3 linked regions of the Rattus norvegicus genome follow. The protein of the gene in region 3 binds, or shares a complex with, the protein of the main gene of each other region. Links are inferred from orthologs where the notes say so. Each region holds a gene or a part of one and is shown on either strand. Other genes may lie near its edges.

Region 1 (5,597 bases), on a different chromosome or scaffold from region 3:
TCATATTTTATTTTTATTATCACTTTTAAATTATTATTTTATTACATGTAGGTGAGTGGTCTGCCTGCCTGCCTGCCTGCCTGTCTGTGCATATCTGGTACCCATGAGAGCCAGATGAGAACACTGGATCCCCATGTTCTAGATGGTTATGTGATGTCATGTGGTAATGGGAATCAAACCTTGGTCCCCTGGAAGAACAGCTAGCACTCTAACCACGAAGCCATCCCTACAACCCCCAAATGTTTCACATTTTAAAGAGAGTAAAAAAAAAGCTAAAAACTGAATCACATACAAACATCCAGTTTAAGGGATATCAAATTCCTGACTTTGTATCAGGTTATAAAGTTTGACCTTTTCAAAGTGGCTTAACTTTTGAGAAACTTCTACTGTTCTGGTTATCTACGTAAGCTATATATTATGATATATGTCAGAAAGAGCACCCTAGGGTAGTTTCCATGATAAGCAAATTTGCTTGCAGAAATGAAAGTTTTTAGCAAGAAAATAGAACAGAAAAAAAGAGAAGACTACTAGAGGTGAGTATGGTAGTAGCCCCAGAACTGCAGAGCTGTGATAGAAGACTTGGAGTCTGATGGCAAGTTAGGTATGTATATAAGTGAGGCAGCAAGATGGCAAGAAAGTGGGGTGGGGGGGTGTGTTTTAGTTTTTTTTTTTTTTTTTTTTTTTTTTTTTTTTTTTTTTTTTTTGCTCTGAGGAGACACCATGACCAAGACAACTCTTATAAAAGACAATATTTAATTGGGGCTGGCTACCAGTTCAGAAGTTTAGTCCATTAATGTCACAGCAGGAAGCATGGCAGAATGAGGCAGACATGGTGCTGAAAAAGGAGTTAATAGTTGTACATCTTGATCTGCAGGCAGCAGCAGGAGACTGTGTGCTACACCAAGCCTGGCTTGAGCATCTGAGACCTCAAAGCCTGCCCCACAGTGACACCCTTCCTTCAAAAAGGACACCTAATAGTGCCACCTCCTATGGACCAAGCACTTATGTACCTGAGTCTATGGGGGCCATTCCAATTCAGAGCAGCACGGGATGGGATGTGTAAGAGATGGAGAGGGGCGGGAGAGAGGTAGGAGAGGAGAGAGGGTAAGGGGAGGTGTGTGAGTGTGAGAACAGTGGCACTGGAAAGGGTAGTGTGCAGAGTAATGGCGTGGCAATACTGTCAAGGATTTGCTGTGGGTGAAGAAGCAGAGCTGGCACAAACCTGCCCTCAGAAGGCCAAGGGAGGAGACACAGGAACTTGAGGCTAGTCTGGGCAAAAGGGCAAGTGTCAGTAGGTACATGACAAGACCTCCTCTCCAAAAAGGATCTGGCTGCTGAGGTAGTGTGGCCTCTAAATGACTCTCTCATACAGCAGACTTCCTTTCCACATCAGACAAGAATTTGATACAAGCTACCATCTGTTCTCTGGAAAATCTATGTCTGCACACACTCATTAAGTTAGATCGCCTGAGGTCCACTCTAGATCATTAGTGAAGAAGATCTAGTACAAAAACCTCACTAAGTACCACAACATAATAATTATCTGACCAGGGCTGGAGAGTTAGCTCAGTGTTTAAGAGCACTGGCTTCTCTTTCATAGGACCTGGGTTCAATTCCCAGCATCCAATATTCTTTTCTGGCCTCCCCAGGCACAGACACACATGCAGGCAAAACATCCCCACACAAAGAGTGAAGTGAAGTAGCAGCAACAACAGTCTGAACTGAATCAGTTTTTGGGGACAGACCACATATGTATTATATACTCCACCCTGGCCTTGATTTTGGGATCTTTTTATTGGAGCCCCTGAGTACCTATCTACTCCAGATAGACATTTTAATAAACCCCTTCCTTCAATGTGAAGCAAATAAGCCCAATACCCTGTGTTAAGAACAAGGACTGAGGAACTTGCTTCCCTACCATTACTAGAATGCCCCCCTCTCTACTCTGCCTACTTCCCTGTCTAACTGTGTGTACATTTCATTCTGTAGGAATACATCATCTGCGCTCATTGTCTGGGAAAGTCTTTCCTGTAGGCATATTTACATACAAAATAACAAAAGGTAGACTTCATTATAACCAGAAGAAATACAGCTTGTTAACAAAGTATTCTTTAAAAATATTTTAATCTAGCATGGATGCTGTTTCTCAGGCTGTACTGCCAAAGGGAATTAAGTCATTAGCTGAATCGCGAATACTGAATCATGGGCATTTTAGCAAAAATTAAAAAGACTGCAAATTGCTTAACAGATCTCAGATTGATGTTAAGATAGTGAGTGCAAGGAGTCAAATCTGAGTCCTCTAGAAGAGCAACTAGTCTCTCTCTTTTTTTTTTTTTTTTGGTCTTTTTTTCGGAGCTGGGGACCGAACCCAGGGCCTTGTGCTTCCTAGGCAAGCGCTCTACCACTGAGCTAACTCCCCAGCCCCGCAACTAGTCTCTTAACCACTGAACCACCTCTCCAGGCTCTAACATTATCATGTGTGCAAACATGCTCGCACACATAAGTGCCTGGCTGTGTGTGTAGCAGTCAGAAGACAATTTCCAGGAGTGGGTTTACTGCTTCCACAGAAAGCTCTGGGCATCATCAGCATTTGAACCGAGTGCCTTTACAAATTGAGCCATTTTAATAGCTCTTACATGTATTTTAAATCTAAAGTAATGAAGTGGATGTTCGAAAGATAAAGCTATGTTAAGATCTGTTTTCTGGGGCTTGGGGATTTAGCTCAGTGGTAGAGCGCTTGCCTAGCAAGCACAAGGCCCTGGGTTCGGTCCCCAGCTCTGGGGGAAAAAAAAAATCTGTTTTCTGATTGTTGACATAAACTCTGTCATTAGCAGAGTGAATGTGAACCTGATCACGTTTCTCCTCACTAGTGATATGCTAATAAAGTCTGGTATACTTAAAGATCACTAGAAATGTATACATACCACAGGTTGCTTTGTGATGTCCACCAAGTCCTTAAGATTATAGTACTGATGTTTCTCAAAGGCTGAGAACAGCATGTCTAGGACGTGTTGTTTGTCTGCCCGAGCTCGCTTTCCATCTTCTTTCTTCTTCCTTTCATATTCAATCTGTAGGCAAAAACAAAAGAAAGGTATCAACTCAGCATCTGGAAAGAAATCATTTGGAAATAGTCTGAGTCACCTGAAACCTCACTTAAAGTCTCACACCATCAGGCCTCTGGCAGGGACTCCCATTACCTTTCAGGTTCAGGACAGTTGTAACAGAGGTCTGTAAACCACTTTCAGTCTCTTGTGAAGCTTTATGTAACACATTCATTTCTCCCCAAGGAGGGTTTCTTCCTGGTTAGCCCAGAAGCTAACATGCAGTTCCTTAGTTTTTGATTAATCAAGGTACAGTGAGATATGTTTATGAATTAAACTGCATGCTCTAGGAGTTTAGGGCACAAGCTTGTTCCAGCGCAGGTTCAACTGGGAAGTCTGGGGAGCACTAGTGAAGAGCAGAGGAGCAAAGTCAGCCTCCTCCTCTCTCAGCCCATGCTTTACCACTGTACATAGAAGTAGGTTCCGCAACAAGAAAGGTAGATACACTCAGCGCTGATGCCAGTAAATTATTTTTTCTACATTTTCATTTTATCTCACATCAGGTGTCCTCGAAGTTTCCATGTATAATATTCTCTAATTTTTACCATAAAAGTACTTCTTATTCAAATAAAATCAAGACATCATCTTCACACACATCAGAATGGGAAGCAACTCTCAGCTCTCACAAGCGAAGCTTCTTTTTGAGGCAGATGGAGAACATTACAAAAAGCTACAAATGGCCAAAACTGGAGAACAACTGGCCTTGGGATGCCTATCACCAACAGATATATTCACAACACAACCCAGGAACATGGCAGAGGAGGGAGTGGAAAGACCATGAAAAGCCACAGGATCAGGACATCTGACGTGAGACAGTATCTTCTGTATGTGACAGAGAAGCTGCACTCATTAACTGCAGCACTATATAGAGTTGCCTAACCAAAACCTGAATGACAGCCTACATGCAGCTCGAATGGGGAATCTCCAAGTCCTGCCTCTACATGAAGGGTCACAGCAACTGAGGACCGTGGAGACACAGAGTCACATCCTCCTCAGGGATGAGCCCCTAACCGGTTGGTTATCCAATACAAGTGGTCAGTGTTCTATATAAGAGCAACACTAGACGAACCCAGTAGCTGGGATGTATGTACACACACACACACACACACACACACACACACACATTCGTTTGGTGCCAACCTGACCTTAAACCCAAGTTATCTGAACTTAAGTTGAGAAGGATGGGGCCATCCCTGGGCTGGTGGTCCTGGGTTCCATGACTTCTCCATCAGCTCCTGCCTCTAGGATCCTGCCCTGTTTGAGTTCCTGTCCTGACTTCCTTCAATAATGACAGTAATACAGAAGTACAAACCAAATAAACCCTTTCCTCCCCAAGTTGCTTTGATCATGGTGTTTCATCACAGCAACAGTAGCCCTAAGACAACATGTAGTAGTAGTAATAATAACAATAACAACAACAATCAACAGAAAAAAGGAAGCTAGAGATAATACACGGAAGTAGGAGCGCTGAAGGTAGATGAAGGGGAGGAGGAGAGGGAGCAGGGTATGTTAAAAGGGGCTTGAGATGATCAACATGTACCAGACATATATGAAACGTTGTCACGAAACCTAGTGTTTTGTACAATTAACAAATGTCAATAAAATTTGAAAAGTAGTTTGATGCCATTGTTATCCTCCTGGTATTAATCACTTGTAGAAAATGATCTTTGCACTGAAAACCGGGAAGATAGTTCAGTTGGCAAATGCAGGAGAGCCTGAGTTCCACCCCCAGAAGCAGGTAAAAAGACATACAGCGTAGGGAGTACTCGTAATCCCAGGGTTGGGAGGGCAGATACCTGAGCTTCTGAAGCGCTCCATGCCAGTGAGAAACCTTGTCTCAAAGGAAGAAAAAGAAAAGGTAAAAAAGGCAGTTTATGGTTCGGTGGCCTCCACAAATATGTGCTTGCACGTGTGTGTACACACACATAAAAAAGGGAGAAAATACACAGCTTCTATTTATGTACTTCAGTTGGTTAAGTTTATTACTATTAACTTTTGATTGAAAGAGTGATTTGCTGGAGGAGGGTCAGTCTCAAAGCTCCCTGGGAAATGAAAGCCTTGGTGGCCTGGGAGAGGCCAGCAGAGAGCAAGGCCTGCACATGGGGATGGCTGTAGTGTGAGAACGGCTCTAGAACTGCACTCGAACTTCAGAGCTAACAATGAACTACGCTGTGAACCCCAGACTGAGGAAGAGGCTTATGTTCTCTGAACGTCCTAGGACAAGCTCACAATGGAGACAAGAACCTCCAGCTGCATGCCAGCGATGAAACCTTTGTGGAGGAAAACTGCAGCCGGCCTCAAGATTTTTCTCAGTGAGGCAAGGCCTATAATCCCAGGTACTTTAGGGCCAAGACAAGATCAAAAGTTCAGGGCTGTGTGGGCTACAGAGTGAATTTAAGGCCAGCCTGGGCAACTTGGCAAGACTATCTCAAATTAGAAAATAACAAAAGGGCTGGGAATAGAGGTAGAATGCTTGGCTCGGTAGCAAAAAGAGAA
Region 2 (6,547 bases), on a different chromosome or scaffold from region 3:
GTGGCACTCTGGAGAGTTTAGAGTTGTTGACAAAGTACAGTCGTTCCCAAGGGACATATCTCTTCAGACCTTTAGAAAAGGGTTCTAAAAAGCTGCATTCAGAATTTTCAATGTTCTATTTTAGTTAATTGTCTCTGTGGGTGCACCACAAGCACATGCCCGAGTCTCCGTGTGCCCGTGGAGGTCAGAGGACAGACCCATTGAACACAAATCACCTGGCTCGATGGCTTTTTAACAAGACACTGGATTGAAGTGGTTTGGAGAAACACTTTTAATCTTCACTGTATGAGGAATTACAAGGACAATAAATTAAGTCATATGTTGACCCGAAATTTCCTTTATACAGAGTATTAAAATACAATTGGCATTTCTAAAATGAAATCATAGGTACACAGTTGTAGTCATTAAGTAAGCTAAGTTAAATGCTATACATTAAAGAGAAACATCAACGAGGCAAATGTATGAAGACATTCCTCAACTCCACTGTTTCATCGAGCATCAAAAACCACCACTGTTGAATTGAGTTAAGGATTTTAAACAGTACTTAAAATTGTGTAAGACTAAGGCTTCCAAGTTACCCCCTGCACCAAGCTTGCAATTGAATATAAAATGAACAAAAGAATGAAGTTCACTATAATCAGAGATTATCTAAAAAAATAAAGTACACTACTGCCATGTTCAGTAGCTTACTTTTTTGGATACAAGATAATATAAATTAATAATGTAACATATATTAATATAAGTAGTATTAAAAATAAACACAAATTAAAAAAACTCACTGAAACAATTGATGACTTTTAAGAGTTTGTGTCCGTTACCATGAAACAATTTGTAGGCCTCACTATTTTCCACTGTTATTAATCTCTTCTTCCGTACTTTATATTGTTCATAAACTAATAACCAACAATGACTATTACTAAAAACAAAGATTTCCTGAAAAGTAAAAAAGACTTATCAACTAGTTTTTATATTACTGAAAGCCCATAATGAATGGTACATGAAAATGCTAATCACATTTACTTTATATAAAAACCTCTGCCAGGCCTTGGGAGTACATGTCTTTAATCCCGGATTTGGGGGGTAGAGGTGGTGGGCGGGGATAGGTGGATCTCTGAGTTTGAGGCCTGTCTTAGTCAGGGTTTCTGTTCCTGCACAAACATCATGACACAAAGCAGGTTGGGGAGGAAAGAGTTTATCCAGCTTACACAGTCACATTGCTGTTTCATCACCAAAGGAAGTCAGGACTGGAACTCGAGCAGGTCAGGAAGCAGGAGCTGATGCAGAGGCCATGGAGGGATGTTACTTACTGGCTTGCCTCCCGTGGCTTGCTCAGCTGGTTTTCTTATAGAACCCCAGGACCACCAGCCCAGGGATGGCACTACCCACAATGGGCTTGGTCCTCCCTCCTTGATCACTAGTTGAGAAGATGCCTTACAGCTGGGTCTCCCGAAGGCATTTCCACAACTGAGGCTCCTTTTCTGTGATAACTCCAGCCTGTGTCAAGTTGGCCTTCAAAACTAGCCAGTATAAGGCCACAGAGGTTTAGGAAGGCCAGTGATAACCTTAATAAATGAATTAAAAATGTATTTACTGGGTTTTAAAATTTGTTTTATTCAGGTTTATTTTATGCACAAGTGCTTTTGCCTGTATGCATGTATGTACCATTTGGGTCCCGCGCACTGGTAGGTCAGAGGTCGGCCTATCCGACCACCTGTGATTGTGAGCAATCATGTTGGTTCTAAGGCCCTCTGAAAAAGCAGCAATGCTCCTGCCTGCAGATCCAGCTCTCAGGCCCCTAGTTGGTCCTTTGAGACTGGGTCTCACTAAGTAGCTTTAGCTGGCCTGGAATCCTAAGTGTAGACCAGACTGGCCTGGAATTCACAAGGAGCTGCCTGTCTCTACCCCACAAGTTTTGGGAAAAATAAATCCTATTAAAATAATTAATCTGGGTATACCTCCTGTGGAGGCTCCACTCTTTCAGTTCTCAATAAGTCCACATGCACTCTGCTTAAAAAATAATCCAAAAGTTATTACTACTTTGATCAGATCTTAGTCTTTTTTTTTTTAAAGATTTATTTATTTCATGTATGTGAGTACACTGTCACTGTCTTCAGACACACCAGAAGGAATCAAATCCCATTACTAGGTGGTTGAGCCACCATGTGGTTGCTGGGACTTGAACTCAGGACCTCTGTAAGAGTGGTCAGTGCTCTTAACCACTGAGCCATCTCTCCAGCCCCAGATCTTAGTCTTTATCAACCCAAGTATTAGTTACTTCCTCTTCACATTTAAAAAGTATACTTAAAAGGATACATCTCTTAGTCCTTTTCTTGTACATTATTCTGTATCCACATTCTCTGCATCTGATTGGATCCCTGGATTTTATTTCATTTTCGGTGTGACACTCTGGGAAAGAAAGCACATTTATTCAAAGCCTGAAAGAGAAACACTCCAGGGAAGCAAACAGTAACAACATATTAAAAACAGGAGGAAACCAGGGCACCAAAACATCCAAGTACATTCTTATTACTGAACAGACCAAGGAGAAAGAAGAGCTGTAGGCAGTACACCTTTTCCAGATAAAAGGAAGAAATCTTAATAAGGTAGAGGGATTTTAAAATTAACAATCGCTAAAGTGCTCCACGTTATAATTTTAAAGATTTGTACTCATGTATGGAAGGATTCTTTTTAATGGGAGGGGGGGGCGTTCCTAAGTAAAGCATTATTTAAATGTTAATCTTACCTCCACAAATATATATCATTGGCTGCTGCTTTGGTGGTTGAACATCTTTCTGGGTGTCCATTGTTCGTGCCTGAAATGAGAGCCAAAGACTGAGTAACAGGGCCTTCGCACAAAACATGCCCCATTTGATTTATCTTTTTCTCAGAAGCTATACGAGGTTCTGATTTTCCGACCAAAGAGGAAAACCTCAGTAGAATGTTTGCCTAGTGTGCAGAAGCCCAAGAATCAATACCCAATATTACGGATGGGGAAATTAAAAAAAAAAAAAAAGTAATTATCTACTTCCCCTAAACAGTGATGTGGGCTGGGTCTGAAGGATACAGCACATTTTCAACAATAGTAAATACATTATGAATGTTTATTACTCTTCAGGATCCTAGAGGGTATTACACACGAAGAAACGGAGGCTAAGGACATGTTGGTTTGTCCAGTATCACTCCGCAAAGGAATTCCGATTTGAGCTGGGAGCAGTAGCTCCGTCAAAGCTTGTCTCAACATTAACTCCACCGGGGATCTTTATTTTCGCATTTGGTTCTTTAAGAAGGCTTTGAGAGTCTTCACTTTGTAATTCAGGTTAGCCGAGAACTCACTTTGTAGCCTTAGATTGAAAGTCAAGGTGCTTGTTGATGGCAGAATTCTCCTACCTCTGCTTCCCAAGCGCTCAGATGGCAGGCGTGTGCTACCGCTCTCGGTCGTCCAGGGATATTTTAAAGCCAGGTGTCTCTCCTAGTTTTGCCTCCAATTTACCTCCCAAATCACCCGCCGATCCCTTACCTCCGCAGCTCCGGAAAGCGTCCCTCCTCTGTGCACGCAAACGCTTTCTCCGGCTCTTAGAAGCAAGAGACACTACCGGCGCTGCTTCGCCAACTTCCGGCGCTGACTTATGACGCAAAAGCCCTGTCCCTTTCTGCCTGGCAGTACCGAAGAACTAGGGCGCTTGTTGGGGACTGGTTTATAGTGTTTCTCTCCTTAATTCCTGTAGGATTTTGTTTTGATTTGCCCCTCTCTCCAGGGTAGCAAAACATTCCCACAGCTCGGCGTTCGAGAGTCTGTGCTTGTGTAACGGCAGATAGAGCAGGAAGCCAAAACAGGTGCTGCTGGAATCTTAACCCAGCCATTGCTTGGGCGAACACCAGCAGGCCACCCTACCAACACTTCACTTCCCAATATCACGGTTTTCAAATTGTTCAATACCCATGCAGGTTTTTGTTTGTTTGTTGTTTTCAAATTCCAGTTTTCTTAGTTTCTTGTCACCTCTCTTCTATTTTATGTTGGGGAATGGAATGATAGGGGAAGCCCGAGGCTTGATAGTCTATGTAGCCCAGGCTGAGCTTGCTCTTAAACCGGCGCAGTTCTCTACCTTCGCCGCCTCAATGCTGAAATTAATTGCGCAAATCACAACGCCTGCCCATCTTCCTTTTTGAAGCCAAGGTTTTCACAACTAAGGTTTTCACAAGGACAACTCCATCAATTACTTCCACTAGTTGGTGGCTTTAGCTTTTCTCGTAGTATTCTCCCTCTTGTGTTTGATCAATTCAATAGAGTACAGGTGGTATGTGTTCTCACAGATCAAACTTTTAACTCAGTAAAAATCTGTTGGGTTCAGGACGTTTACACTCAATTATTTCACACCATTTATTTTAAAAATAGAGTGGACAAACTAATAGAAGAAAAACTAGGGAAGCATCTGGAACACATGGGCACTGGAAAAAATTTCCTGAACAAAACACCAATGGCTTATGCTCTAAGATCAAGAATCGACAAATGGGATCTCATAAAACTGCAAAGCTTCTGTAAGGCAAAGGACACTGTGGTTAGGACAAAACGGCAACCAACAGATTGGGAAAAGATCTTTACCAATCCTACAACAGATAGAGGCCTTATATCCAAAATATACAAAGAACTCAAGAAGTTAGACTGCAGGGAAACAAATAACCCTATTTAAAAATGGGGTTCAGAGCTAAACAAAGAATTCACAGCTGAGGAATGCCGAATGGTTGAGAAACACCTAAAGAAATGTTCAACATCTTTAGTCATAAGGGAAATGCAAATCAAAACAACCCTGAGATTTCACCTCACACCAGTGAGAATGGCTAAGATCAAAAACTCAGGTGACAGCAGATGCTGGCGAGGATGTGGAGAAAGAGGAACACTCCTCCATTGTTGGTGGGATTGCAGACTGGTAAAACCATTCTGGAAATCAGTCTGGAGGTTCCTCAGAAAATTGGACATTGAACTGCCTGAGGATCCAGCTATACCTCTCTTGGGCATATACCCAAAAGATGCCTCAACATATAAAAGAGACACGTGCTCCACTATGTTCATCGCAGCCTTATTTATAATAGCCAGAAAATGGAAAGAATCCAGATGCCCTTCAACAGAGGAATGGATACAGAAAATGTGGTACATCTACACAATGGAATATTACTCAGCTATCAAAAACAACGAGTTTATGAAATTCGTAGGCAAATGGTTGGAACTGGAAAATATCATCCTGAGTGAGCTAACCCAATCACAGAAAGACATACATGGTATGCACTCATTGATAAGTGGCTATTAGCCCAAATGCTTGAATTACCCTAGATCCCTAGAACAAACGAAACTCAAGACGGATGATCAAAATGTGAATGCTTCACTCCTTCTTTAAATGAGGAAAAAGAATACCCTTGGCAGGGAAGGGAGAGGCAAAGATTAAAACAGAGACTGAAGGAACACCCATTCAGAGCCTGCCCCACATGTGGCCCATACATATACAGCCACCCAATTAGACAAGATGGATGAAGCAAAGAAGTGCAGACCGACAGGAGCCGGATGTAGATCGCTCCTGAGAGACACAGCCAGAATACAGCAAATACAGAGGCGAATGCCAGCAGCAAACCACTGAACTGAGAATAGGTCCCCTATTGAAGGAATCAGAGAAAGAACTGGAAGAGCTTGAAGGGGCTCGAGACCCCAAAAGTACAACAATGCCAAGCAACCAGAGCTTCCAGGGACTAAGCCACTACCTAGAGACTATACATGGACTGACCCTGGACTCTGACCCCATAGGTAGCAATGAATATCCTAGTAAGAGCACCAGTGGAAGGGGAAGCCCTGGGTCCTGCTAAGACTGAACCCCCAGTGAACTAGTCTATGGGGGGAGGGCGGCAATGGGGGGAGGGTTGGGAGGGGAACACCCATAAGGAAGGGGAGGGGGGAGGGGGATGTTTGCCCGGAAACCGGGAAAGGGAATAACACTCGAAATGTATATAAGAAATACTCAAGTTAATAAAAAAAAATGTTAAAAAAAATAAAAATAGAGTGGAAAACGTGAAGGGATTCAGGAATTCAAGTGAAAACCGTTAATTAAAGTGATGGCTTCTCTCCCAGTGTGCATCCTGGTATCTTAGTAAACTGTACTCTCTCCATTCTCCATTCACCAAAAGAACAACTTTGGGCTTTGCGTTTCATGTCTAGTTCAAGTCTGTAATATTCACAGACCAGCTTGAGAGATTCCAGTCTTCCTTGATGCCATTCTTTTTTTTAAAGAATTGTTGGCTTAACTCAGTAGTAAAATGCTTGCTTAGCATGCATGGACTCACAGTGGTAATTTCTTTCAAAAGGAAATCATTTCTGATTTCAACAGTACTTTCCAGCTTCTTCCTCTACATGCAGATTAACAGCATATTTTGACCTGCAGCCATGTTACAAAGTACTTCTTCTCAACAAAGGGGAAGAGGTAAACAAGTTTGTATACTAGACATCTGTACATCTGTACAATAAATACTAGGTTAAACCCATGGCTACCGTAAAAGGATTTCATAC
Region 3 (6,447 bases):
AGCGTTGAAAATAAACAGAACCTAATTCATGATTGATGGAAAAAGCAAATGTAATAAGACTAGAAAACTAAACCTGAAGACGGTGGGCTCAAGTTACACAATGCTTCTTAGAGAACCTGACTGCAGGGGCAAGAGAAAGGGGCCTAAGGAGCTGGCTCAGTAGACAGCACCCGCCATGCAGGAGGAGGACGGACTTGAACCTCAGAACTTACATATGAAGCTGGGCATGGCCATGCACACTCATAACCCCAAGGCTGGGTGCAGGGCGGAGCCAGGTGAATCCCTGGGGTTTTCCAGCTTACTGAGCACTGTGTTTCAAGTTCAGTGAGAGATCCTGTCTCAAAAAATAAATAAATAAAAGTGGAGTGACAGGAAAGACGTGTGACATCACATTTATACACCTCGGAATAGAAATGACACAGAGGTGGGAACTCCGACCTGCCTGGCGCCTGGCAGCTTTTGGGACCCTCGGCATTTGGCCACTGAACTGGAGCAGCGCACGGCAGGTACCCCAGTAAGTAGCAGCCCCTGGTGTAACGACACAGGCCTCAGGTGTCAGGGACTGTGTTAGTGGTTTTTCTCATTGCTGTGACAAAATAATAAAATAAGGGCTTTACTTTGGCTCCAGCTTCAGAGTGCATCAGTAATAGCGGCAGGACCCGGGGAGGCTGTTCACAGTACAGTCAGTCAGGGTCCAGGAATGCTGGTCCTCAGCTTTCTTCCTTCGTGTTCTAGCCCAGACGATCGTGCCACGTGTTGGCTGGGCCTTCCCACCTCAGTTCTCCTCGTCTAGAAACGCCTTCATAGACCGGTCTGCCTGCGGGTGTGTCTCCCAGATGACTTTAGATCCATGATCGATACCAAGCACGCATAGCCGGTTTTATCATCTGCTTGCCTCAGAATACAATGACCTGTGCAGAGAATTGCACACGACCGCCTCGACAGCCACTCCACATGTGGCATCTGCCATGGGCCTAGATCTCAAAGAGGGGGTGGCTGGCGTAGAGAGGATCACCCACCTTTTGCTGGCGTGGCCGTCCCTCCTGACGTCAGCCTTCTTTATCCCGTTGCCGTGATCTCTTTGCTGCTCTCAGATGCGATTCTTTTCCAGGCTTCCATCCCTAAGGAGCAGCTGTCTCCAGGACCTTTCCATACTTGGATCCAGACTGAGACTGCTAAAGCAGCCAGCCTCACAGACAGAGTGACCAACCAGTTCTCAGCCTCACAGGTAAAATACTGAAACCTCCCAGGTTAGTAACATTTCAAAGTAAGCTAACTTAGTAATACACAGCCCAAATTCCATTTCTAAATAATACAATATAAGACAAAACAAATACCAGGAAGAGAGCTGAAGAGAAGACACAAGACCAGCTTGGTCACCCCCAGGGATCTCATAAAAAACAGTAAACCAGAAGCCACGATATACACACAGAGGACCTGTAGGGTAAAAGTGAGAAAAATATAAAATAAGAAGTAGATACTAAGACAGACTTTTAGAAAGAGGGGGAGCTCTGACAGGACATTATAAGACAAGGAACCTTCAAACAGAGCACTGGGTTTGTGTCCTGTGGGTGTCCTGTGGCCATGAAGCCTACCTAAGAGTAGTTGTTTCCCCAGTGAGCCTCTCCTTGGAGAAAACTAAACTTCATTTGCAAGTGCTCATCAAGTGGACACTGTGTCCAGGGACAGGGGAAGCTGCTCATCAAGTGGACACTGTCTTGGGGAAGGAGGGAAGCAGGTACCTACTTCTCGTTTGAAGCTCCAGAGCTGCCCAAACTCCATTTTTCAGTTCATTCAATAAAATAAAGACAAATGTGCCTTAAGTGGTATAATTTTTATATACAGAAATGATCCACTCTCAACAAGTATAAAACACAACAGCAGCCTTTCTTTCCTTTAAGTCTGGAACCCACTGGCTCTCAGCACAGTCAGTCAACACATTAGACCAAGAGGACATTACAGTCTTGGAGAGAAACGATCACACTGAGAAGTCTCTGTTTTCAACTCTGATCCAGGCAGTCAATCTTCAACTGAGTACAGGGTGGATGTCACTTCCTGAAGCGTTTGAAAAGTGGGTGCACGTGCTTGGTGGAGGCTTTGTTTCGGGAGGAGTGGTACTCCATATACACAGTATCGTCTGCCCCGGACAGAGAGCTCATGGTGCCAAAGCGCCGGGATGCCTGTGGGGGAAAGGCAGAAGCCAGGCTAAGGTTAATCTCCAAAGGAACCTCTTACAACACTCATACTCAAATTCAGAATGTGTGTGTGTGTGTGCGCGCGTGTGTGTTTACAAATGTGTGCTGCTATACCCAAAAGATGCCCCAACATATAAAAAAGACACGTGCTCCACTATGTTCATCGCAGCCTTATTTATAATAGCCAGAAGCTGGAAAGAACCCAGATGCCCTTCAACAGAGGAATGGATACAGAAAATGTGGTACATGTACACAATGGAATATTACTCAGCTATCAAAAACAATGCCTTTATGAAATTCATAGGCAAATGGAGGGAACTGGAAAATATTATCCTGAGTGAGGTAACCCAATCACAGAAAAACACACATGGTATGATGCACTCATTGATAAGTGGCTATTAGCCCAAATGCTTGAATTGCCCTAGATGCCTAGAACAAATGAAACTCAAGACGATGATCAAAATGTGAATGCTTCACTCCTTCTTTAAAAGGGGAACAAGAGGGGTTGGGGATTTAGCTCAGTGGTAGAGCACTTGCCTAGCAAGCACAAGGCCCTGGGTTCGGTCCCCAGCTCCGAAAAAAAGAAGGAAAAAAAAAGGGGGGGGGGACAAGAATACCCTTGGCAGGGAATAGAGAGGCAAAGATTAAAACAGACACAGAAGGAACACCCATTCAGAGCCTGCCCCACATGTGGCCCATACATATACAGCCATCCAATTAGACAAGATGGATGAAGCAAAGACGTGCAGACCGACAGGAGCCGGATGTAGATCGCTCCTGAGAGACACAGCCAGAATACAGCAAATACAGAGGCGAATGCCAGCAGCAAACCACTGACCTGAGAACAGGACCCCCGTTGAAGGAATCAGAGAAAGAACTGGAAGAGCTTGAAGGGGCTCGAGACCCCATATGTACAACAATGCCAAGCAACCAGAGCTTCCAGGGACTAAGCCACTACCTAAAGACTATACATGGACTGACCCTGGACTCTGACCTCATAGGTAGCAATGAATATCCTAGTAAGAGCACCAGTGGAAGGGGAAGCCCTGGGTCCTGCTAAGACTGAACCCCCAGTGAACTAGACTGATGGGGGGAGGGCGGCAATGGGGGGAGGGTTGGGAGGGGAACACCCATAAGGAAGGGGAGGGGGGAGGGGCTAGGAGGATGTTGGCCTGGAAACTGGGAAAGGTAATAACAATAGAAATGTAAATAAGAAATACTCAAGTTAATAAAGATAAAAAAAAATAAAATTCTTAAAGTTCATATACGAAACATAAAAGACCATAGGAAGCTAATGAAATCTTAAAAAAATAAATGTTAGTAGTAGATATCATTACTCCTAATTTTAATTATACTACGAGCCATAGTAATAAAAATCTGATACTTCCACCAAAAAAAAAAAAAAATTTGTGCTGCAGGGTCTGAACCCAGGGTCTTGCACATGCTAGGCAAGCCCTCTACCACCAAGCTAGCCCAGCCATGCGATGAACTGTTTTTAAACAACTCTCAGGCTGGCGAGATGGCCTGGCTGTTAAGAGCATGGCAGCTCAGAACTGTCTGTAACACCAGTTCCCGGGAACCCAACACTCTCACACATACATGAATGCAGACAAAACACCAATGCACGTCAAATACAAATAAATAAATTTAAAAAACATAAGACTTTTTGGACAGCTGAGTTGTACTTGCAATGCAAGCACAGCAACTGGAGCTTGAGCCCAGAACCCACAAAAGGTGTAAGGAGAGAAAGCACTCCACCAAGCTGTCGTGACTTCCACAGCCGTGCCCTCTGACACACACACACACACACACACACACACACACACGTATGCACACATGTATGCACACACATATACAAGTTAAATTTAAAATATCTTTCTGGCCACTTTCATATATACTGCATATATACTACCTCCCCTGATCCTCACAACAACTATAATCTTAACCTACAAAACAGGAAACTGAGGCACAAGAACATGGCTTGAGCCTGCTTGAGATCTCAAGGAAAACAGGACTAGAACATGGCCCAGGCACTCCGCTGTAACAGCCAGCACAGGTCTCCCTTGATGACAACTGCCTAAGAGAACATATTCTCTCTTTTGTAGTTCTGAGGTAAGAAGCCAGGGCTTGGTACTGCACATGCAAGGCAGACTCAGCCCCTACAAAATCTTTCTTTTTTTTTTTTTTTTTTTTTTTGTTGTTGTTGTTGTTGTTGTTCTTTTTTTCGGAGCTGGGGACCGAACCCAGGGCCTTGCGCTTTCTAGGCAAGTGCTCTACCACTGAGCTAAATCCCCAACCCCGCAAAATCTTTCTTAAGAGTTATTGGGGGGGGCTGGAGAGATGGCTCAGTGGTTAAGAGCACTGACTGCTCTTCCAGAGGTCCTGAGTTCAATTCTCAGCACCCACATGGTGGCTCACAACCACCTGTAATAGGATCCGATGCTCTCTTCTGGTGTGTCTGAAGACAGCTACAGTGTACTCATATACATAAAATAAATAAATAATTTTTTTAATTGTTATTAGGATAGACTGGAGCTGAAGAGGTGGCTCAGCAGTTAAGAACACTGGCTACCCTTCCAGAAGACTGAGATTTGAATTCTAGCAACTCACAACCATCTGCAACTCCAGTTCCAAGGATCTGAAGCATCCTTCCGGCCTGTGTGGGTACCAGGCACACATGTGGTGTAGAGGCACAAGCACCCATACATATAAAAAAATAATTAAAAAAAAAAGTTGGGGTGGGAGTCTCTTTAAATCTCCTAAGACTTAACAATGGGAGACCCAGAAAACCCTGGCTTGACTCAGATCCAAAGCCATGAGCAAGTTTTGAGTGTATGTAACAGGGCATGGTCAAGTCTGCTCCAAAGGTGGATATGGAGCTGGGAGCAAAGTGAACACCTTTAATCCCAGTCTTAGAGGCAGGAGAGGCAGGAGAGGCAGGAGAGGCAGAGGCAGAGGCAGGAAAGGCAGGAGAGGCAGGAGAGGCAGGAGAGGGAGAGGCAGAGGCAGAGGCAGAGGCAGGAGAAGCAGGAGAGGCAGGAGAGGCAGGAGAGGCAGGAAAGGCAGGAGAGGCAGAGGCAGGAGAAGCAGGAGAAGCAGGAGAGGCAGGAAAAGGCAGGATGCAGAGGCAGGAGGACCTGAGTTCCAGACCTGCCAGTTACACAGTAGCACCCATCTCAGGCAAAACAAAACAAAGCCGGAGATGGGTATGAACAGTACCCCGAAGCCAGGAGTCTGGCCCAGAGCAGTTTGCACCTGAACCAGACAGATGTCAGGGAAAATGGGCACCTGACGGATGCCAGGTCATAGCCTGATCTCAGAGGACTGATCCAACAGCAGTAAAGGTCACCTTGGCACCCCTGGACCAACGTGCAGATGACCTAGCAAGAGAATGGCCTTGACTGGAGGGTACTGGCACCTGCCCAAGTGGCAAATGTTGCTTCCTTCCTGTCTTGTTCTAGCTAATGATCGCCTTTCAGCTTTCACACCACTGAATTTCAGAAACTGAATCCTCGGAACCCCTGACTCAATTTCACTTCTCTCCTTGAAGGGTGATAATCATAATCTCCTTATGATGCCTTCGCTGATCACACTACATGGTCATGCCTGGGGCACACAGGCCTTCAGTAAAGACAGGTGAAATGCTGGGTCTTTTTAGAAAGCAGCATAGTTCAACTTTTTGAGTTCATCAACAGACTCATCTTGACGGCTGAGCCCTCTTACGGAGGAGGAAAGCAGGGTGAGCCAGCTAACCCCAGACCAACAGATAAAGCACCTACTAGTACCAGAGCCTACAGGGCTCTCATCCTTGGCCCCAACATTAGCAGGCTGTCATTATGGACAAGCATGACCCCAGTCACTGTCACTGTGAGCCCTCTGCCTTACAACACATTTATAAGAAACCCACGCTCAAAGATAACAGTGTTGTTTCTTCAAAAAATTTCAGTTTTCCTCTAATCCTACTTGCTTGCATGCTGATAGGCTTGTGTGTGTGTGTGTGTGTGTGTGTGTGTGTGTGTGTGTGTGTGTGTGTTTGCACACACATGCGTATGGAATGTCTGTATACATGTGCTCACATACAGTGGGTGTCCTACAGGAGAACCTCTCTCTTCACCCACCTGGCCAGATCTAGAGCCAAACTCTCCAGCCACCACTTCCTCCTCTGCGTCCAGGTCAGTGGCTGCCAGGACCTTCTGCAGGAGCTGCTGCTGCTCCTCTTTGGTGGAGAATGCCAGCTCCTCTTCCTCCATGC

What was found.
Region 1: Ercc3 (region 3) and Gtf2f2 share a complex: the UniProt entries of both Homo sapiens proteins name them as parts of the TBP-based Pol II pre-initiation complex. The link is inferred for Rattus norvegicus from reciprocal best matches to the Homo sapiens genes ERCC3 and GTF2F2.
Region 2: Ercc3 (region 3) and Polr2k share a complex: the UniProt entries of both Homo sapiens proteins name them as parts of the TBP-based Pol II pre-initiation complex. The link is inferred for Rattus norvegicus from reciprocal best matches to the Homo sapiens genes ERCC3 and POLR2K.

Annotation. Positions count from the first base shown.
Region 1 is NC_086033.1:57,626,786-57,632,382, forward strand, and holds part of Gtf2f2 (general transcription factor IIF subunit 2), read right to left. Parts: exon of another isoform or gene 3,069-5,597; coding exon 2,925-3,068; exon of another isoform or gene 1-2,924. UniProt on the Homo sapiens protein: TFIIF is a general transcription initiation factor that binds to RNA polymerase II and helps to recruit it to the initiation complex in collaboration with TFIIB.
Region 2 is NC_086025.1:69,238,286-69,244,832, reverse strand, and holds Polr2k (DNA-directed RNA polymerases I, II, and III subunit RPABC4), read right to left. Parts: upstream 3,601-6,547; 5' UTR 3,518-3,600; intron 2,814-3,517; 5' UTR 2,805-2,813; coding exon 2,744-2,804; intron 2,407-2,743; coding exon 2,314-2,406; intron 512-2,313; coding exon 489-511; 3' UTR 254-488; downstream 1-253. UniProt on the Homo sapiens protein: DNA-dependent RNA polymerase catalyzes the transcription of DNA into RNA using the four ribonucleoside triphosphates as substrates.
Region 3 is NC_086036.1:24,183,916-24,190,362, reverse strand, and holds the end of Ercc3 (general transcription and DNA repair factor IIH helicase subunit XPB), read right to left. Parts: coding exon 6,314-6,447; intron 2,181-6,313; coding exon 2,049-2,180; 3' UTR 1,820-2,048; downstream 1-1,819. UniProt on the Homo sapiens protein: ATP-dependent 3'-5' DNA helicase/translocase. Binds dsDNA rather than ssDNA, unzipping it in a translocase rather than classical helicase activity. Component of the general transcription and DNA repair factor IIH (TFIIH) core complex.